Struthio camelus: one gene and its partners. The protein of the gene in region 2 interacts with the protein of the main gene of each other region in a pairwise test. Links are inferred from orthologs where the notes say so. Each region holds a gene or a part of one and is shown on either strand. Other genes may lie near its edges.

The links. The genes of interacting proteins can lie anywhere in the genome.
Region 1: the proteins of EIF3E (region 2) and C4H4orf19 interact in binary tests that used the Homo sapiens proteins (3 or more experiments, as listed by UniProt). The two-hybrid records come from large-scale screens. The link is inferred for Struthio camelus from reciprocal best matches to the Homo sapiens genes EIF3E and PGCKA1.
Region 3: the proteins of EIF3E (region 2) and RUNDC3A interact in binary tests that used the Homo sapiens proteins (3 or more experiments, as listed by UniProt). The two-hybrid records come from large-scale screens. The link is inferred for Struthio camelus from reciprocal best matches to the Homo sapiens genes EIF3E and RUNDC3A.

The regions. Positions count from the first base shown.
Region 1 is NC_090945.1:62,454,656-62,461,589, reverse strand, and holds the start of C4H4orf19 (uncharacterized protein C4orf19 homolog), read left to right. Parts: upstream 1-3,911; 5' UTR 3,912-4,347; coding exon 4,348-4,460; intron 4,461-6,934. UniProt on the Homo sapiens protein: Acts as a tumor suppressor. Acts as a tumor suppressor for colorectal cancer cell proliferation by targeting KEAP1/USP17/ELK1/CDK6 axis.
Region 2 is NC_090943.1:153,081,672-153,089,042, forward strand, and holds the start of EIF3E (eukaryotic translation initiation factor 3 subunit E), read right to left. Parts: upstream 3,014-7,371; 5' UTR 2,804-3,013; coding exon 2,714-2,803; intron 907-2,713; coding exon 792-906; intron 1-791. UniProt on the Homo sapiens protein: Component of the eukaryotic translation initiation factor 3 (eIF-3) complex, which is required for several steps in the initiation of protein synthesis.
Region 3 is NC_090966.1:4,585,652-4,593,599, reverse strand, and holds the start of RUNDC3A (RUN domain-containing protein 3A), read left to right. Parts: upstream 1-4,925; 5' UTR 4,926-5,201; coding exon 5,202-5,308; intron 5,309-7,184; coding exon 7,185-7,300; intron 7,301-7,391; coding exon 7,392-7,525; intron 7,526-7,948. UniProt on the Homo sapiens protein: May act as an effector of RAP2A in neuronal cells.

The DNA.
Region 1 (6,934 bases), on a different chromosome or scaffold from region 2:
CTTATTCTGCTCATAAAGGCAACAGGATGCAGAAGATCCCAGGCTGGGAAGCACGTGTCTTCCTTTAACAGTGTGCAGGAGAGAGAGGAAAGCTGTCTGCTGTGAAGAGAAGGGGCAACAGCTATGACCAAAAGTCAACAAGGGACTTCATATGCAGAGTAATACCGTCAGGAAGCCACTAGGGGTAAGTGGAAGATCTGGCTGACCTTATTGGTTTGGAAAGCAGGACATTTTGAGGAGAAGCTAACAGGACTGAACATAACTATGAATATTACTGTGTTTTGCAGAAGATCAACTTAGGCAATAACCAACAGTTACAACCTAAAACAAAACGCCTTTTGCAAAACTGATAGCATCTGCTTTTCATTATGTTCCCCTTCTGCCAACACACCTGCAAATAACAAGTGCAGGTGTGCTTGAGCTGTGCAGGCAAGGCTCAGACTTCCTTGCACTGAGATCTACTTGCCACTGCATCTTCGTCTGGGGCAAAATAGCCACACGAGAAAAGAGAGAAAAGGTGCAACTTGGGGGCAGAAATACCATCGGGACCTGACAAAAAGTGTAGCTAGATGCCTTGGGGTAGGGGAGCAGCTGTGAAGAAAGGGAACAGTTTCTGATGCTTGCACTAAAGCAAATGCTTCCTATTCCAGCTAAGATTTGCACTGGCATGCAGTAGTATTTGATAGAGTTTCCTCATATTAGAACTACAAATATAAGCTAATAAGCACATATTTTTGTAATATCAACATAGTCAAGCCACATCTGACCTTTTTCATCTCTTTGGATGGGAACAGAAACGTAAGCAGATATATCCATTGCTCTGAGCAACCTGGCACTCAGAGCAGTTTGTCATCAGATCGGAGCTGGGCAGGATGCTTTTCCCCGGTGTTGAGAAATGCCACAGCACGCACTCACAATTAGAGCACATAATTGACTCCTGCACAGTAGACACACCTCTCAGCTAGGAGGCTGCACTCTCCCTTGGACGCAGTTATGAACAATCCAAGGATATAACCCTCAATTTGTGCTACTTCATGTATACTATAATTAATGTCTACTTACTGCTGATGTTGAGATCCTGGAATGAAGAGCACAGCTAGCACACATTTTTGTCAATTATTAGAGCAAATTTCCTGCACAAACAATACATCAAACATTTTCAGACGTCATCACACAAACAGATGTTAAAACCGTGACAACACAACTCCCATCGGCTATTTGATGAGCAGGCCATAGTTTGGCGATTAGCTGACGTTTTACTGATTGCTCATCAGGCAAGTGTAGTGTTTGTTAGTGCGTGTTTCTTAATATTAAATCACTTTGGTCTGTAATTTCTTGGAAAGTGTGAGGGTAAGCCAGTTGGAAACAATTCTGTGTAAGCGTCACTTGCTTTGTTTTTCCTTTCCTGTGACTGCTTGTACAGCTTTGTCACTTAAGGATTCCTGTCATTTATTACCTTACTGAAGTAAAAATATTTTGTGACACCAGAGCTACTTCCTTGAGAATAAAAGAACTACTATATGTCAGAATATTAAGCATCAAAATCTATGAAGCCATAGCTGAGCTAGTCCTATAAATTTTCAGATAACAAGCAAGGCACAATTCTCAGGCATGAGAATCTCCAGTTTTAATACCCGCCCTGGTTAAAGCTACTTTTCTCCCTTGAAAAAACTACCATGAATCTAAATCTGTTTCAAGACTTCACTTGGAATAATCATAAATAATACCCCTAAGCCCCTACACACAAAAACAACCTCAAACTTCATGCCTTGAATAGCAGACAAAATACATCAAATTCTTCCCTCACGGAAACAAACAGCCATTGTCTGTACACGGAGTATAACTAGCACTAGTTGTGTAATATCATCCACAAGCTTGCCATTTCAGTCACAGAAACACATAAAGAATCAGGCCACTGCCTTGACCAACGTATCATCTATTGGCTTGATTTAGCATGGCCAGGGAGAAAAAAGGGGAGAGGTAGGGAAAGATACATGATCGGATTGTGGAGGTTAGATTTGGGGATAACCGCAATGTTGCGGTTCCTTTTTCCTGTGATAAAGTGTCGTAATGAGGATGTGAGTATTTAAGAGAAATCCGAACAAATCCATGGGGGGCTTGTCAGAGATTTCAAAAGGTTCTCTAAGCACAGATGATTGGGATAACTTTGGATGACAGCAGGTCATACGTACAGTTAGTATATGCCATGTCATTTAACCGTACTCAGATTTTAATTTTTCTGAGTAAAACTTTCTTCGTAATATGAAATGGTTTTAAGAAATGTAATCAAATAATTTTCAGAAAAAGTTGGGATTTTGGCAGACATAAGCCATAAAGCATATTTTGTATTGTTAGAAAAAAATGGAAAAATATCAGAGCAAAGGAATTGTGAATATCTTCTTGCAAAAGAGAAAAATGGCATTTTTGATCATACTTTTTCAGAAAGCCCTCATCATAAATATAACTGTGCAGTCTCCTGCATTGCACAATTCCCTCCCTTTTAATTCTAACACAGAATCGTCTTCCGAAAATATATACAGATTGTTATCAACAGGTGAAGACAGTGTAAGAAGGGTTATTTGTATTCATGCAATGATGACATTTATCTGTGAAAAAACAGAGATCTGATTTGAAAATGAACAAGCAGACAGTGGCAACGGGAGTCAAACAGCTGAGGTTAAACTCTCGAAAGTCACCTCTGTAGTTCTACTGCGGCTGAAGGAGGTCGATATGATCTTGGACAGGTCCCCCTTCTGTGTCAACTTTTCTCATGTTTGCAGTTAGCTGTGCTGGAGAAGCAGGCAAACAGATCAGCTGGTAAATGAGGCCTCGGTGGAGAGTAACAATGGCTGGTAGACCTGAGCAGCTCCCCAGCTTTGTTTGTAAAGTAAATAAAAAGAGCACATTTGAGGGGGAGGAGTAACAAAGGGAAGGACAGGCAACTACAACCTTGGCAATAACCTTGTGTTAGGCAGGAGGATAGCATAAGGCTCCTTCTGGCAGACACTCTGACACCCCTTGTTCCCAAATATAGTGCATGCCTGCCTCAGAACAGGAGGAGAAAGCAAGCTGCACCAGGAAAAACACTTGCACATTTTCTCTCTCTTACAGAGTAGTGTAGACAGCAGGGACTGAACTGACTCGGAGCCAAACCACAGCTCACATTCTCGCACAGGGATTGCACAGCTAGGTAGTTTCACCAGGGCTGGACAGCAAGATGTTTAAAGCGTGAAAATGACACATAAGCGTTACACCCTAAGAAAGTGTGAACAAAAAGTCTGAAGTCAATTAAGCTACAGAAAAAATAGACAAAAAACCTTCAGGCTGGTTTTTATAGTTTCTCTAAATGAGTATATTATCATATTTCCTCAAGTTAGCTGATTTATTTTAGATTATATATGACAATCCAGTTGCTCCCTAAAGCCCTATTTTGACAATTTCCAGACTAAAAATCCATTAGAAAAAAGGAATTACATAGACTTCAGTCCAGCTTTAAAAGCATCAGTCTTATTGCAGAGTTAAACACAGACTTGTTATCAAATTGTTGCCTCCATAACAATTGCGCTAAGACAAGAGTTGCCAAAGAATTTAGAGACTCACTGAAAAAGATCTGACATTCTAGGTAGTAGAATTCTTCACAGTTTTGTGGCTGTCACCTATAGGCTAAATTTGACTGTTGCAGCAAAACTGGATTATAACTTTCAGACACAGGAGTACACATGATCTGGAAGCTTGTTAAAAAGTAATTTGTTTTCAGAAGACACTGAACCATCAGCTCCACAGCCTTTCATCAGCTGGTTTCAGACTCCATAATGGATTAGCAGGATGGATGCTGGGCCCAGGATTTTTTTTTTTTAGCTCTCTCCCTTTGCTGGTGGGGTGGGGGCGGGGGGGGAAATGATAGACTCATTACCTCTGGTCTCAGCATAGTTAGTGGGGTGCTTGCTTTGGATGCAGGAATACAAAAAACTCCTCAGAACCTGCTATTTTAGGCACAGTGAAACACTTTTTATGGATGATAGTCACCTAACAGTAGGATTAGTCAGTGTGTTGTATGGCTAACTAAACTAGATCCCTTTTCTTGTTTCCTTTACAATCTTTTCCCTGTTACTCTTCCTCTCCCCTCTCTGCCATAGGGTGGTGTTTTTCTACTGCATGTTTAATAGCTCCCTAAATTTCTAATTTTGGTTCTCCTCAGCTCTGCCATCTGTCCCACAGTCTTTCCATGTTTCTTTTATATCACCTGTCATCCAGATCAATTGTTGCTCTGCCACCACCCCTCAGTAATATACTGCACTTCCCTCCCCTTCATTTAGGCACACCCGATTCTTTCTCCGACCTTGGCAGATGCTGAGGACAGCCTTTGAAAGCTTTAGGAGAGGTGCGAGTGCCTACTCAGCACAGAAGGCACACCCCACCTCCCAGCAGGAGAAGTCTGCCAAGCGCAAGAGCTGTCTCAGGTTATTCCCACCCCAAATTCTTTATATTCCATCCTTATATATTTCTCTGCAGACACTTTACTCTTCCCACCTTTGCTTCTGTGAGTGTCTCCTAGCTGGTTAGCATTTGGCACCTGTATGAGACCTTGGTAGCAAGAAAACTTAAGAAAATTGTGTTTGCGTTAACAGTGAGGCAGATGGAATCCGTTCTGATGAGAGAGGGGTTTATGTCCATCGTGGGGGAGATGGACCCTCAGTCTGGTACCCTGCAGGCAGATACGCTTCACTCAGGAGGGCACAACGCAGCCGACTGACGGGGCACAGGCTGGCAGGGTCTGGTCTGACTGGAGCCTCTGCTTGAAAAAAAACGAGCAGAAAGAGCTGCCACAGGCCACTAGGAGATGCAGCATTCAGGCTTAGCAGCCCAGATAATACATACATAGAAAAAAACGCTTTACTTTGTAATCTAGAGGAGAGGAGGAGAGAGAGGAACCAAAGAAACAGCAAAAGCTCATGAAGCACCAATTCTGGATGAGAACGTGGGGGAGACAGAAATCAACCACCTTAAAAAAAGTGATTCACAGCAAAAGTCCCCCGCCAGGATTGAAAGGAATTTGAGACTTACTGCAAATACCATTTAAATATGTTGTGCCTTCACCTTTCTGCTTCTACACTGGGAGGACAGAGTGGGGCAGAAATCAAGACTGAAGGGAAACCAACACACCAAGAACAAGACCAAAAAGGAGATTGGCCTTTCTCTGTTTCCCTGTAAACTTACAAGAGTGTCGAGAAAGGTTGTCAAACCATTTTTGTTTCACTAATTTTGCCCTTCCCTATTCATAACGTTCGTCTTTTGTTTATCCATAATACAGCAACAGTTTAAATAGACAATACAAGCTACTGTATTATATAATTTAAAGTCAGATATGTTGTGTTTCTCAAATCTGATAAAGGACAGTAGACTTCTCTTAAAGCACATTATGGCTTTTAAAGCAAACTTACTTTTTGGAGCCAGACATTATACATTCCTGTTGTTCTTAGCAAGATCTCACACTTCTAGAAAAGTCCCATTCCATTCTCTTACTGGGTGCCAACATAAAATCATCTAACAAGAGACTTTACTCCTCAGCCTCCTCATTTTCAGCATTTGTTTTACTGAGTGGATTGTTGTTCTGCTCTCCTCAAATTAAATCCACTTACTACCTCCGTAATAACCATAGGGGCATTTTTTCCAACTGATTTTAAAATAGATGCTCTTCCATCTCTTTTTCTTTCAAAGGAAGAAAGAGAGTCACTCTTTTGTAATATCAGATTTTACTGATCTCTGTAAACACTTATTCTAATGTATTACAAGGAAATCATAACTAGATCGTCTTTCGCACTAGCAACTAAAGGATTACTGCAGTGGCTGAGGGAACCATACACAGAGTTGAGCCTCTTCATCTCTTTCATCAAAGCAAAATATTTTAACTGATGGAAGTACTGACATTGAATGTGCAAACCACAAAGGCTGTCCTACTTCTCTCTCATGCTCCAAGAATCTGATTATTTTATAGAAACTGGTACAAGCCCAGCCTCACAGACACACTCTAGAAGATTCAGTGGCTACTCAAAGCTGAAAAGTCAGAGCTCAAAATTAAGCATTTTAAACCTAGGCCTCCCATATTCCTCTTTCCTGATAGCTCCATTTCCTGCAAAAGCTCCAAGCGTTCCAGGATACGTCTAGAAAGACAAAAATCTATACCTTGAATTTTAGTAGAGCTTTAAGGCTAAGTGCTGTGTTGATGTCCAGAATTAAGTGACTGCACAATAACCAGTGACAGAAATTTACAGGCCTAGAGGAATTTCATGACTGAGAAAGAATAGTTTAACGGCCTAGGTTTAATGGCCGTTGACCGGAATTTGGAGGATCTAAATGTTAAGGTCAAGCATTTTACTGCTACTTTAGACAAGCAGACTCTATTTTGGAGCTAGCCTCCAGTGCTCTGCAAAGCAGCGCTTAAGTCCTGTCTTGTTAATATGAAAATATCTAGAAAATCTAGCAGCATAGCATATTTAACAGAATAAACAGCATATAAAAAAGGGAAAAAAAAAAGAAGTTAGAGCAACATAAAGGCTGCAACATCTTATTCTTCCTAACTTCAATCTCAGATAACATCATTATCTATTTTTTCAACCTTCAAACCCTCCCCCATGCCCTCTATTTAAATGAGTCTGCGTAGCATATGCTTGATTCAAACTCCGGATAGGAGCTTATTAATACTACTTATTTTTTAATGGAACCATGAAGATCACACAATACACAAGTCTTTAGAGCAAAGTACCTAAGACAAAATAAGTAGGAGTAAAGCATGCCTTTTCATGCTGTAAAAGTAACTTGTTCCCCAGGGTTATTTTCCAACCCTGGCTTGAAAGCGTGTTATAAACGTGGGAGAGAAGGACAAGGAACAACAGTCTCTAACAGTGACATCATAAAACTCTATTCCTACTTGAGG
Region 2 (7,371 bases):
AAGCGAGGTGGGGGGGGGAATGGATATTCAAACACAAAGGTTAGAGAGGAGAGGGAACCAAACAAGCAAAAAATTAAAGCCACATAGGCTAGAACATCCTTTCTTTTTTAACATCCTTTCTTTTTTTTTCTCCTGTAATTTCTATTTCCCTGCTTTTTCCAAGTGGCGTGTGGGAAGATAAAAAGTTACAGAAGTAACTATGAAAGCGTCCCAAAAAAATCACAGAGAACACAAGCGGACGTTTATTTTTCATATGCTTCTACAATTTCATTTGGAGTTTCTTCCCCTAGAGAAACAGTAATTTGCCTATAATTTAGTAATTGACAAAAGTGAGTAATACGTTCATACTTCCTCAAAATCTAGAACATCAGCCACAAAACAGGCAAATTCATGGAATTACCTAGGGCAGAAATTCACTCTTAATACAGTGTGTACTTTAAAGAAAGAGTCTGATCCCAAAGCACTGTTCAATACTGTTTAATTTTACGTGTGGAAAAGTCAAGGGTAACTCTATTAGGCTCTACCACTGAAGCACTTGGAATGACCAAGACCACACTGAGGTACTTCACATATCACTCTCAAAGCCTAAGTTTGTAAAAGATAAAAAATTCACACTTTCCAGCATTAGGAGAGACTATTTGTTTCAGTAACGGACATATTTTCCTTAAGGTCAAAGTTAAACAGCATTCTAGCTTTGAAGGGCAACATGCAAATTACTACTAGCTGCTTAGTATTTTATACACAAAAGCTGTAAAATTGGCAATTATTTCACTTCTAAATGAGTAGCTCACCATGAGGAATTTCATCGGAATAAAGATTTTTGTACACATCCATAGCAAAATCCACCATGTTGGTATCACTAAGAAGATCCAGTTTTCCTTGGAGAAGTTCTTTTTCATTGTATATCTAAAACAAGAATTATTAACAGATTTCTTTGGATACAATGAAAGAGTCTTCAATTAATACAGTTATTTACCCTTATAGTACCATTTACCTTTATAATACAGTCTATTTATAAATTCTGTCAAATTATTTAATTTTAAACATCAAATATGACAGCTTTTCAAGATGTCTCACAGTTTCTCTGTCATTTGCATACAGCCTATCAACATCCCCAATCTTGACATCAATTTCTTGCTATTCATGAATATCTAAACTTCAAAAGATAAAAGACAAATTAGCATTCTAGATAACTTTTCTTAAAGAAAGCCAATTAGTTACTTACTGGGCCAAAATAGATACTAATTCACGAAGAAATTCCAACATGAAGATTTTGACCAGGTTTTGCAGTTCTGACCCCAGAACTTAAACTGATGCAATCCATGGGTCAAGCTCAGTAAACACTTTTCAAGAAATAGTTTGCTAAACAGTATAGACTCATCAAACAATTTAAAGTAGACCTCAGGAAAGATATTCAGGGTCAAACTTACCATTAACTCTGTAAGATACATTTATGTAAAATATGTTACTAGGTCTATAACATAAAAGCAAATTCATTTTAACCTGTGCAATTATTTGGTGCTCTTTCAAACGTTTAATTATTTTTAAAGATTCCTACCCCATCAGTTGGGTACTGCTGTTACATCTTGGAAGATGTAGGAGGGGATCAACACTTACACATACCCCCAAACTACATCTGCATGGGGGCTGTATTACAATTCCTTGCATCACAACTACAGACATCTCAAATGGAAAATCCACAAAAGATTAATTCAGCTTTGAATACCATTTCGTTCAAGAGCAACCTAGCAAAAATAACAAGGTTTAGTTAACTTCAACCGGGTTTACAGCAAACTCCAAAAACACCAAAAATAACGCCCCTAAAACAAATGAAGCAGGAAACACACAAGATACAAAAACAAGGTAGGTTAGACTGTTTCACTGTATGCAGCTTGATTCTGAAGCCTAAAATAATATTTATTTCAAAATTCAAGCCTTAAGTAACCTTACAATTCTGTTTCCATTTATTTTAAAATGGATCAAATGGATACCTCAGACCGACTAAACTCTCATCGACTTTAACTGATGTATTTACTGCATTATTTGGGTTCCTTTTAGTTTTTATTAACATAATTAAACAGGAAAGACCCATGGGGGGGACTTGCGCTTGGTTTAAGCGCAAACACGGAAAGTTTAACGATGACGGCAGCTGTAATTTAAAGTCGGTTAGCAACGAGACCTGCACTGACGCAATCCCACGCACCGCCCCGCGGCAGCGCCCAGCCGACGCGCCGCGCTGACGAGAGCTATCGCACGCTATCGGAAGCTTACAGAAAACAAGCCGCGGGCGTGAGGCAGAGCTCTCCTCCTTCCCTCCTCCAGGCGAGGGGACGGGAAAGAAACCAGAGTAAACGCAAGGCGGGGGGGGGGGGGAAGGGAACAGAGACTCTCCCTCCCCAGGGAGCTAGGCTGCGGAGGAGCGGCTCCCCCCGGCCCGCCCGCGGAGAAGGCCCACACGTCTCTTCCGCACCGCCTCCCCACATGGCGCCGGGGCCCCGGGCCCGCCCCAAGCTGCCGGGGCGGCGAGTGCCGAACGCCCTGGCGGGCCGGGTCAGGTCGAGCTAGGCCAGGCCAAACCCGGGGGACACCAGGCGCGGCGCGGGCAGGGCCCTGCAGCGACCCCCAAACCCGCGAGAGGAGCCGGCCAGCGGCACCGCCTGCCACTTCCCCGCGCCGGCAAGCCGGCTTCTCCGGCTGCAGGAACGCCCCGTACCTCCTTGACGGAGAGGAACTCGAGCAAGGGGAAGACCAAGTGCCGGTCCAAGAAGTGCGCGATTTTGGTGGTCAAGTCGTACTCCGCCATCTTGGGGCCGGGAGAGAAAGGGGCGGGCTGGGGCTCGGCTCAGCGGCACGCGGCGGTTAAGGGCTGTGCGCCTGCGCCCGGCCTGCGCATGCGCAGGCTCCCCCGGCCGGGCGAGGGGCGGCGCGCGCCTGCGCCTGCCTCTTCTTAGCCGCTGTGCGCGGCTGTTGGGGAGGGGGCGCGGCCTGGGGGGGAGGTCGGTCTGCTGGGGCTGCAGTGCGGGGCCTAGAGCCTCTGCTGCAGCGGCGTGAGAGGAACAGCTGGGCTGAGCCTTGGGGTCGTTGCAGCTTCCCTGGAGGCGGCTGCAGAGCCCGGTGGGACCGAAGCGTTGTGGGATTGGGGGCAGGGCCGCGGCCGGGACGGAGGTGATGGCGTCAGCCGTTACTAGCCGTTCAGCGTCTGCCCGCTGCGGTTGAGTCAGTTTGTCAGGACTTGAGCTCAGAAATGATTCAGATGGCTTTTTAGAAATGGTGTGGAGCGGCCTTGAGACGTGGGTCCTGCTGCGTGTGCAGTGTGGAAGCTTGACCTGATTGAGTCTGGGAAAGAGGAACGGGCAGGGGGCCTAAACTGTCTTTTGCACCTTGAGAAACCTATTAAGCTTGACCAGCGTGACTGATGAGACGTAATGGGTGGGGGACACAGCTGCCAGAGCAGGACCCAAGGAAGGATGTGTTAGCGTTGCTGAGTTTAGCAACAGGAACGTGGAACCACTAATACAGATCATAACTGGGGTGTTTATTTCTTGTAGTCAGTGTAAGAAAGTTCGGCAAGTTCACTGGGGTGTTTAACTCACCGGCATATTCAAGAAAAGTGTAAAATGCACCTTGTGTGTTTATAGCTTATATGAAAAAGCCTATAAAGGAGCATTCTCCAACAGCTGCAGCTTAGCTTAGTATTTCAGCTGGGATTGTTGGGTATCTGGCTCCTTTTTCAAGTGACCTGACTGCCTTTTTTCTTTTTTATATTAATCTATTTTTTCTATTATTACTATTTTAAGTGGCAGTCAGCTCCTTGTCAGGAGGAGTCAAAAAAAAGTCAGTCAAAAAAAGTACTCCTTCGCATCGCAGATCATTCAGACTTGCTGTTAATACATGTTAAATCTGTGCATGTTGATCAGGTTTGCCTGAGGTACTTGCTTTTTATTTGCTTGAGTGTGGGTTTTTTTACATCAAATTATAGTTTTATATGGGGACGAAGAGAATCATTGTTGATGAGAATGATATTGCACAGTTATCTGGAATAAGAAGTGGGATTTTTGCCTTACAAAGATACTCGAAGAGTGCTGAATGTGTTTTTAAAATATGTGATTTAGGATGCTGTCAGGTACATGGAATATATAAAATGCAAGGCTGTATCTGCCATAGATGTGATCCACATTAAAGTGCCAGGCCTCCATCTTGTATCAGTTAGAGGTTAAATCTCTATCAACAGCTAAAACAGGTAAGTGAGACCTCTTACAAGGAATTGTTTTTCCATACTTAGTTTCTCTTGCTCCTACTTTCTGTGAAGACTACTTGATACAGTTTTTCCTGCCTAGCTTGAAGTCTGGTGGGTCAAGAGGAACCTTTCAGCCCATAACACTGAAGAGCTTTTTTTTTTTTTTTTCTGGAAGTGTAATTCCATGTTAGTTTTGTCTCATTTCAAAAGCTTTGTGTGACATGTGTTTTATAGTCTTTGCATTTGATTCCATTTCTTGTTTCTCTTCTGACTTTGTTATTCTCAATGTAGGCCTTAACAGAGGCATCAGACACAATGACAGCAAACCCTTTTCTTTATATAATAATAAAATTGAGACATGCAGTTGAGGGAAGGTGATACTAATAAAAGAAGATGTAATTGCAAAAAGTGTACTGTTTTGTAGGAGCACTCATTTTCCTCAGCAGTGCTCACTTTAAAAAAAATAAAAAAACCGTAATAAATTATTGGCATTCAGTCATGCAGTTGGTCCAGTCTGAAACCAATCTGTTGCCTTACTGTACATAGCATCTTCATTACCTCCAGTTCAATTCTGTAGTGCATTTATAATCGGTAACAAAAAGGGTATAAGGTAGCAAATAATGCAGATAGCTAAAAATCCTTATTGTAACCAAAACCTGATTGCTTTGAATTATTGATTTACTGGCCCATCATCAGGCCAGTAAAGACATCAGACATGAAACTAGAGACCAGCTGAAAGTCAGCTAAAATAATCTGCTTTTAAAGATTGATTAAGAAGGAGAGGGAAGAGTGACAACAATACTTTTGGGATTTGTTTATTTTAAGTACTGAAGAGTAAAACTCATGAATTCGGCAACACTTTAAACCTTTTGATTTTAGGTGAAAATTTTGGGCTATGTATAGTAGAAGCTACTACAGCTTCAAATTGACAAATCCAGCTCTGCGTGACAGATTGTTGAAGGGTGTGTGAGTTTCCAAATCCTATGTGTTTAGTGCATAAAAATATACTGTCAAAAAGATTAGAAAGAAGCTATTGTCAAAGCTCACTTTAATGATTTTGGAGGATGTAGAGCTGAAACTATGTAGATCTGTAGTACTTTTTTCAGATTAAGTATTCAGCTAGAGTATTGGTTTGGAATCTGCGAAATGTTATTAAAAGCGCTTATGTTGATCAAACATGATTCAGCCAAAGGTGGAAATCTTTACAGCTCAGTTGCAGTTAAGTAATGTGCTGTGGTTTGTTGACTGCACTGCAGAAACAATGCTTCTCAATGTATAGTATAGAAGCAAATATATACTATTGAATTAGGTTTACCAGGAGTTTTTCATTAATTAATCATGAACATTTCCGGTTTTAATAGGGGTTCTCTTAGGTTTGAAAACTTTTACCTCATTGATGAAGGTGTTTACTGCAGTGCTGGGCAGCTTTTTGTTGATATAAATATAGTTTGAACTGGTTGAAATATTGAAAAATTTTGATTGTTTTGGCAAATCAGGATTAGCCTTCCAAAAGTTCAGAAACATTGGAACTGTTTGTTTTGGGCTTTTTTTTAACTTGGAAAGTGTGGGTTTGGGGAACTAGATTCACCGGGAGACTTAGTGAAGTTGAAATGGTGCATAATACTGTGCTTCAGTAGGGATGTGGCAAAACTCTGTTCTAATCCATTTTGTGCTTAATTCAGAGCAAGCACTTAAAAATGACTCTTCTACTGTTTGGGTGAATTTTCTTAACAATGCCACTGTGGGTTTCTTGTTTGTTGAGACTTTTCAATGTTTAATTAAATAAATATGGTGAATAACGTATTTGTGTGAGGAGTGTTACTGAAGAAAATGTGATCATGTTTCCCTGTGGCCAGGGATCTTGATGGTAGGAGTCCAGAATTCAAATGTGTGCAATAAATTGGACGATAAGATCTAAAGTATGGAACATAATTGTAACTCTGTGACTAGAGCACTCATCTGGATCAGAGGATCTTAAGTTCCAGTGTTTTATGTTTATTTATGCTTTTGCTTCTATGAGTTAACATCTCGTTCAGCACAAGGACCACATTTTCAATGTATTATTCAAGACTTGTATGTTGTATTTGTAGAAGACCCTATAAATAATGGATTTTACTCAATCAAGTTTTAGAAACATTTTGAAAAGAATTTTTTCATCCGACATTAGCTCTTCATGCTGGGTCGATCTCATCAGTACTTTTCCTAGGGTTGACCAGAAGGTAGGCCTGAGAAGTGTGTGTTTGGAAACTAAGTCCATGATCTTCATTGCCTTCTTTAGAACAGAAGCCAGCATTCAGTGTGTGACTAGAGCCTTTCCTTTTAATGACAGCAATGTTTTCATTAACCAGATTACCAATAAAACAATTCTTAAAATTCACAAGGCAAAGATCCTCCTTACGTTTTTTTAGACAAGAAGACTTTTTGCCAAGACATTGTCAATTCAACTTTTAGAGGCTGGAAGGTTGCTTTGAAAAAGATGATGGATGACTCAAGAGAATCGTCTGATTTTTCAAATATTTTAGTTTTTTTTACTTTTGTTTGGTGACCAACATTAACCTGTGCTTAAGTTTTTTAAGGAGAGTGGAACAAAAAAGAAGGGAATCACCCACAAGCATCATGGATACAATAGAACATGAGAACTTTTTCAAACTGAAATGCTGTCTTGGAATAGCTACAAGGTTTATGTTTTTGGCTGAAGGGAGGAAATGTGTCACTGTTTTCTCAGCTATGATAAATTAGTGGTACAATTAGTTTCAGTTGTGTGAGATTTGTTCCAGCTTTCTCTTGTGTTGTATAGAGTTGATTTTTGTTCTTTTAAAAATTTGAGATGTCAGATATGTTTTCCATGTATTGTCAGAAAAAAATCTGCATGTTACTAACTGAAGGTCAAAGAAAAAAGACAATTAACTATTAAGATGATTTGGACAATAATGTGTTGCTAACATTCCGGTTTAAAGCTCAATCTCACTTTTGTTTAGGACTTGTTAACAAGCTTCATGAACTAACTTTTGTAAATAGTGCATAAAAGGTATATGATGGTCCTGCTGGAGAGATTTCCGCTGTTTTTTATTGGGAGATATAGTTGATCCTACTAAGCCAAGCCTCTTCTCATCACATAAGGCGTGACTAATTTC
Region 3 (7,948 bases), on a different chromosome or scaffold from region 2:
TGCGGCCGCCCGATAACGGCGAGCGGCTGCTCCGCCGCGCCGCCTGCAGCGCCGAGCACCGGCGCCCCCGGCCCCGCTCTACCGGCCCCGGCCCCGGCTCTGCTGGCCCCGGCTCTGCTAGCCCCGGCCCCGGCCCCGGCTCTGCTGGCCCCGGCTCTGCTAGCCCCGGCCCCGGCTCTGCTGGCCCCGGCTCTGCTAGCCCCGGCCCCGGCCCCGGCTCTGCTAGCCCCCGCTCTACCAGCCCTGGCCCCGGCTCTGCTGGCCCCGGCTCTGCTAGCCCCGGCCCCGGCTCTGCTGGCCCCGGCTCTGCTGGCCCCGGCTCTGCTAGTCCCGGCCCCGGCTCTGCTGGCCCCGGATCTGCTGGCCCCGGCTCTGCTAGCCCCGGCCCCGGCCCCGGCTCTGCTAGCCCCAGCTCTGCTAGCCCCGGCCCCGGCTCTGCTGGCCCCGGCTCTGCTAGTCCCGGCCCCGGCTCTGCTGGCCCCGGCTCTGCTGGCCCCGGCCCCGGCTCTGCTAGTCCCAGCTCTGCCAGCCCTGGCCTCAGCTCTGCTAGCCCCGGCCCCGGCTCTGCTGGCCCCGGCTCTGCTAGTCCCGGCCCCGGCCCCGGCTCTGCTGGCCCCGGCTCTGCTAGCCCCGGCCCCGGCTCTGCTGGCCCCGGCTCTGCTGGCCCCGGCTCTGCTAGCCCCGGCTCTACCAGCCCTGGCCCCGGCTCTGCTGGCCCCGGCTCTGCTAGTCCCGGCCCCGGCCCCGGCTCTGCTGGCCCCGGCTCTGCTAGTCCCGGCCCCGGCTCTGCTGGCCCCGGCTCTGCTAGTCCCGGCCCCGGCTCTGCTGGCCCCGGATCTGCTGGCCCCGGCTCTGCTAGCCCCGGCCCCGGCCCCGGCTCTGCTAGCCCCAGCTCTGCTAGCCCCGGCCCCGGCTCTGCTGGCCCCGGCTCTGCTAGCCCCGGCTCTACCAGCCCTGGCCCCGGCTCTGCTGGCCCCGGCTCTGCTAGTCCCGGCCCCGGCTCTGCTGGCCCCGGCTCTGCTGGCCCCGGCCCCGGCTCTGCTAGTCCCAGCTCTGCCAGCCCTGGCCTCAGCTCTGCTAGTCCCGGCCCCGGCTCTGCTAGTCCCGGCCCCAGCTCTGCTAGCCCCGGCTCTGCCGGCCCCGGCCTCAGCTCTGCCAGCCCCGGCCTCAGCTCTGCTAGTCCAGGCCCCGGTTCTGCTAGTCCCGGCCCCGGTTCTGCTAGTCCCGGCCCCAGCTCTGATAGCCTCAGCTCTGCCAGCCCCGGCCTCAGCTCTGCCAGCCCCGGCCTCAGCTCTGCTAGTCCCGGCCCCAGCTCTGCTAGTCCAGGCCCCAGCTCTGCTAGCCCTGGCTCTGCCGGCCCCCGCCTCAGCTCTGCTAGTCCTGGCCTCAGCTCTGCTGGCCCTGGCTCTGCTAGCCCCAGCTCTGCTAGTCCCAGCCCCAGCTCTGCTAGTCCCGGCCTTGGCTCTGCTAGTCCCGGATTCGGCTCTGCCAGCCCCAGCCTTGGCTCTGCAAGCCCTGGCCCCAGCTCTGCCAGCCCTGGCCTGGCTTTGCTAGCCCTGGCCCCATGCCTGCCAGCTCCAGCCCCAGCTCTGCTATCGCCTGGCCCCAGCACGGAGCCTGCAGCCCGCAGCCCCCGCGTCGTGCATCCCACGGCCTCAGCGTGGAGCCTGCAGCCCCCACGCCGTGCATCCCACGGCCTCAGCATGGAGTCCATAGCTCCCACGCTGTGCATCCTGCATGGCTCCATATGGAGCCCACGGCTCCCACGCCGTACATCCCACGGCCTCAGCACGGAGCCCACGGCTCCCACGCCGTGCATCCCACGACCTCAGCATGGAGCCCACGGCTCCCACGCCATACATCCCACGGCCTCAGCACGGAGCCCACAGCTCCCACGCCGTACATCCCACGACCTCAGCACAGAACCCGCAGCTCCCACGCCGTACATCCCACGACCTCAGCATGGAGCCCACGGCTCCCACGCCGTGCATCCCACGGCCTCAGCACGGAGCCCACGGCTCCCACGCCGTGCATCCCACGACCTCAGCACAGAACCCGCAGCTCCCACGCCGTACATCCCACGGCCTCAGCACGGAGCCCACGGCTCCCACGCCGTGCATCCCACGGCCTCAGCACGGAGCCCACGGCTCCCACGCCGTGCATCCCACGGCCTCAGCACGGAGCCCACGGCTCCCACGCCGTGCATCCCACGACCTCAGCACAGAGCCCGCAGCTCCCACGCCGTGCATCCTGCCTGGCTCCATATGAAGTCCATAGCACCCACCCCACGCACCCAGGTGCAGGACCTGCCCTCTTGCACCAGCGCCGCACCGCACAGCGCCCGCACCCCCCCAGCCCGGCCCGCCGTGCCCGCGCGCCCCGCACCTACCACCCGCGCTGGCTCCGGCGACGGCGCTGCCCTGGGCGCGAGCCCACTGCTGCCGGCGGCGCAGGACCGACGCGCCCGCGGCCCGGCTCCCGAATGCCGAGTCACGCTGGCCCCCTAATCTGGCCGGGCCACCGGCCGGCGGGCGCGCGCCCGCCCTCACCCGTGGCCGGCCCCATAAACAAGGTTATCGGGGCGCACCATCTTGCAAATTCGGGGCTGCGCCCTGGCCGCCCGCCCGCCTCCCCGGCTTCCCCCGGCCCGCGGCCCCGCTCCCCCCGCGCCAGCCCGGCCCCCGCGTCCCGCATCGCGGGGGTTTCCCCGAAGGGAAACCCCGGGAATCCCGTTTCCGTGACACTTATTTACTGGGATTTGATTTTTTTTTTTTTTTACTTAAGAAAAAACCGAGGGTTCCCGGGGAGGTTTCCCCCGGCGCAGAGGAGCGAGGCGAAGGCAGGGCCTGCAGGTGACGGTGGCGGTGGCAGCGGCGGGACGTGTCTGCCCGCCCGCCGGGAGGCTGCGAGTCCCGGAGCGTCGCCATCCTCGGCGCTTTCCGGGGGCGATCCCAGCTGGGTGCTGCACGCAGAAGAGCAGTGCCTTTCCCTGCGCCGTTTCAGGGCGCCCTCAGGCGTTAGGGCGAGCCCCGGGCGCCGGGGGGCCGCCGCTCGGCTGCAGAGGCGAGATGGGGCTGCAAAGGCTGCGGTGTGCGGTGCACGGCACTCGGCGCATGGTGCACGGCACACGGCACACGGGGCACGGCACATGGCACGCAGTGCACGGCATGCAGTGTGTGGTGCACAGCACATGGCACGTGGTGCACGGCACACGGCACACGGGGCACGGCACATGGCACGCGGTGCACGGCATGCAGTGTGTGGTGCACAGCACATGGCACGTGGTGCACGGCACACGGCACACGGGGCACGGCACATGGCACGCGGTGCACGGCATGCAGTGTGTGGTGCACAGCACATGGCACGTGGTGCACGGCACACGGCACACGGGGCACGGCACATGGCACGCAGTGCACGGCATGCAGTGTGTGGTGCACAGCACATGGCACGTGGTGCACGGCACACGGCACACGGAGCACAGCACATGGCACGTGGTGCACGGCACATGGCACGCAGCATGCGGAGCACAGCACATGGCACATGGTGCATGGCATGAGGCATAGTGCATGGCACATGACACACGGTGCACGGCTCATGGCATGCGTTGCACAACACATGGCACGCGGAGCACAGCACATGGCACAGCACGCAGCGCACGACGCCTTCTGCACAGCCCTGTCGAGCTCGAGGTGCTGAACCCGCCCTGTGCAGTGGCCAGGAGCCCCGATTCCCGCAGCGAGCCTCCGGGCCGGACGCATCCTCGAGTCCTGCAGCGCGCTGCAGTGGCGGACGCTGCCCTGACACCCGCAGCCAGCCGGGCACAGCTCCCTCGCGTGTGCAGACAGATGTGTGCGCGGGTGTGCATGTGCATGCGGATGCACGCGTGTGTGCATGCGCACGTACATACACGAATGTGCATGCATGTGGGTGTGTGCGCATGCGTGTGCATGCGGGTGCACACACATGTGCAACCTTCCTAAAAGGCTCCCAGCTCCGAGCCCCAAACCCAGGCCCTTTGGGCACCCATCCAGGGTGCAGCTGGGGTGCAAAGATGCTGCAGGCGAAACCCTCCCTCGCACCCAGCTCTGACCACTGGCGCCCGCTACCCGGCCCCATCGGGCCCCTCGGCCGCGGGTTTGCTGAGCGGCAGGCGGGTGGCCGCCTTGGGAGTGCGATAGCCCCCGGGGCTGGGTGCTGCGATTAGGCGGGCGGCGCCGGGCCCTGGCGTTATCTGGGTGCCGCCAAGGCCGCCCCTCCCCGCGCAGCCCCGCTGCTTCTGGGGCGCCCGCGCTGCCCTGCCCTGGCGCGATTCACCCTCCCATCCAGTTGCCCCCTTATCGCAATGGGGAAACTGAGGCACGGTGGCGGCGGTGGGGTCAGTGCTGCCCCGACGGCTCCGGCTCAGGGGGTTTCTCCCAGCCCCAGGCCACCGCGAGCCTGCGGGGCGGCACGGTGCTCGGCCAGCCGTGACCCACCATGCCCAGCGGGTAAACTGAGGCACGGAGGCTGGAGGCGGCGGGGCCGAGCTGGCGCCCGTGCCAGCACCTCGAGCAACATGTCCCCGGTAGGGGCAGCTCCCACCGGGCGCGGGGGGACGGGATCGCACCGAAACACCCCAGCTGCCCCCCCCCGGCCGCCCCGAAACGGGAGCCCTGGGAGCGGGGGCTGCCGCAACACCCCGAGGCCGGGGTGGGGGGGGCTGCCTGCTCCTGGATCCGTCCCCCGAGGCTGGCGGCGGGGGGGGGGGGACACGAAAGGTCCCCGCTGTCACCGAGGGCTCACGGTGGCCAGGCCGGAGCCCGGCCCTGCCGCCGCTCTGCCCGTGGGGTCCCGGCTCTTGCCGGCGCGTCATGGCGAGGGGCTGGGCCCTGCCGGGAGGAGGGAGCCCGGCACCCACCCCCAGCCCGCCACAGCGCCTGCCCCTTGCTCTCCTCCCCGCTTTTTCCCCCCCCCTTGTTCCCTCCATCCCCGCGGGGGCTGCTCGGGGGGGGCGTCCAGGGTGGCGGAGTGGGAAAAATCCCCCTGCCCGGCTGCAGCATCCTTCTGGGGCCCTGCATCCCGCCGGGGCCCTGCATCCCGCCGGGGCCGTGCATCCCGCCGGGGCCGCGCGGGGGGCCGGGGACTCGGCGGGGCCGCGCCGGAGGCAGGTGGGCCGGCGAGAGGGGGGTCTCGCCCGCCGGGGCCGGCTCGCCCCGCGCTGGATGGAAACGAGCTGCGTCCAGGCTGCCATGGCTCTGGGGCTCTCGTCCAAGAAAGCCTCGTCCAGGAACATCGCCGTGGAGAGGAAAAACCTCATCACCGTCTGCAGGTGGGTGCTGGGGGGGGGGGGGAAGGACCCGAAAACGGAGCAGGGGGGGATAAGGTGGGGGAGAGGGGAGCAAGGTGGCCAGGGATGGAGGAGCTGGATGGAGGGATGCGGGGGGCAGCGGACGGGGGGCCCCGTCCCACCCCGCGGCCCCTCCGGCCCCGGCAGAGGGGATGATTTTTATTTTTATTGTTGCTGCTGTTGCTTTTACCCCGGGAGACGCAATTTTGGGGAAGGGGGGAAAGGATGCTGCTGCTGCAAAAAGGGCTGGAGAGGCAGAAGGGAGGGGTGGAGGCGGCGAGGGGCGACGGGGCCAGGGGACGAGGGTGGGCGGCTGTGCCCTGGTGCTGCTGCATCGGCCGCCCGGGGGGGGTCCCGGTCCGGGGGGGCGGGCAGGGGGCCGCCGTGCCAGGGACTCGGGGTAGGGGGGAGGCCACGGCGATTCGGCTACACGACAACAACATGGAGGCTGCCGGCGGTGTCGGGGGGAGCCGGGGCCCGGCGAGGGGGAGGGATGCTGGCGGGGACCGGGGATGGGGGGGCTCGGCGGGGTCGCCCCCGCTCAGGGCGCGGGGGTGGCGGGGGGCTGCGCGGGGGGACCCGAGCGCCAGGTGTGGGGCCGAGGAAGTGACGTCAAGGCGGCCCCGGGATGGGGGATGAAGGCGAGCGGGGATGGAGGGATGATGGCGAGCCGGGATGCAGGGATGCGCGTTGGCATGGCAACGCCCGGCTGGACCGGGGCGCCGGGGCCGGCGCCGATGGGGGCCAGCGGTCCCAGTCCCTGGCTGTGGGGCTGCGGGGGGGGGGCCGCATCACCCCCCACCCCGGGAGCATCCTTAGCGGTGGCTCGTGCCCGAAACGCAGCCCCGGGGGCAGCCGCTCGGCCCCCCGCGGGTGACCCCCCCCCGCCGCCGGCGACGTGGCCGAACCCCATGCCGTGACCCCAACCCGTGCTGGGTTTCCTCAGCAGCCGGCTGCTCTGAGCACCCCCAGCATCGTCCTCCAGCCCGTTGGGCCGAGCGGGAGGTGACCACCCGGCTGGACGCGGCGGCCTCCGCGCGGGGCTGAGCTCAGGGAGGGGAAACTGAGGCAGGAGCCGGGCGCAGCCGGGATGGAAACCCGGCCCCGCGGTCCGGGCCGGCTCGGGCCGGCGGCACGTAGGGCGGAAAGGGAAGCCCTGGCAGCCGGTGCGGGGGCCGGGGAGGAAACGGGGAGCCTTTTGTTCGCTTTTCCTGGCCGGGCGCGGAGGGGCCGGGCGCCCTCCCCGGGGAGCCATCCCTCCGGCACCTGCGCGCCCCGGGCGCGAGCTCGGCGCGAGCCCCCGAGCCTCGGCCCATCACGCCGCGCGCCGCCCCGGCCGGCGTTTGTCCCCGAGCCGGGTCCGGCCGCAGGACAAAGCGTTTCCGTCCCCCGGGCCGAGCCGGAAGCGGTGGGGGGGGGGGGGACGCCGGCAGCGGCCGCGAACGTCTCCCCAGGGTGCGCGGGAGGCGCGTGGCCGGCCCGCCGCGCGGCACCCGCCCGCCAGGGCGCTCGGCACCCGGCGCCGCGGCTTGGTGATGCCGCTTAAAACAACCCCGGTTATATATCCCCTCGGTGGTACAGGGGAAGGGGCCCAGGAGTCCTGCCGGCAGCCCCAGCGGCGCGAGCCATCCTTTCGGGAAGCACCGCGTGCAAATGGCTTTTCCTTATTGCTCTAAACGCCCGGCCCGGCGGGGCGCCTGGATGTGTTGGATTTGGGTGCGTTCTCCTCCCCGGGCAGCGGAGGGGGCCCAGGAGTCCGGGGACCTGCTGCACCCCCTCCGAGCCCCTCCGCAGCACCAGCGCGCCCATAACTCACCCCCCACCACCACCACCCCGTTGACACTCCTCTGGCCGGCAGGTTTTCGGTGAAGACCCTGCTGGAGAAGTACACGGCGGAGCCCATCGACGACTCCTCCGAGGAGTTCGTCAACTTTGCCGCCATCCTCGAGCAGATCCTCAGCCACCGCTTTAAAGGTAACGGCGGCAGGCGCCGGCGCGGGCGTGCTGCGCGGGAAGGGCCCTGCGGCCGGCCCCCGTGACCGCAGCCCCCCGCCGTGTCCCCCAGGCCCCGTCAGCTGGTTCAGCTCGGATGGGCAGCGCGGGTTTTGGGACTACATCCGCCTGGCCTGCAACAAGGTCCCCAACAACTGCGTCAGCAGCATCGAGAACATGGAGAACATCAGCACCTCCAGGGCCAAGGTCAGGATGACGTCGGTCCCCACCCCATCCCCATCGTTCCCCAGCCCCAGCCCTGGCCTTGGCCCCAGCGCCTTCCCCACCTTGTCCTCGTCCCCATCCCCACCCTGGCTCCATCACCTTCCCCATCCCCATCCCTGCCCCTATATTCCTGCCCTAGCCCCATCCCCGTCCCCATCTCCATCCCTGTCCCCATCTCCATCTCTTTCCCTATGCTCATGCCCATCCCCATCCCTGGCCCTGGCCCTGGCCCCATCTCCTTCCCTATCTCTGTCCCCATCCCCATTTCCATCCCCACCCTGGCTCCATCACCTTCCCCTTCCCTATCCCTATCCCCATCCCCATCCCTGTTCCCACCATGTTCCTATCCCCATCTCCATCCCCATCCCTGTCCCTATCTCTGTCCCTGTCCCTATCTCCATCTCC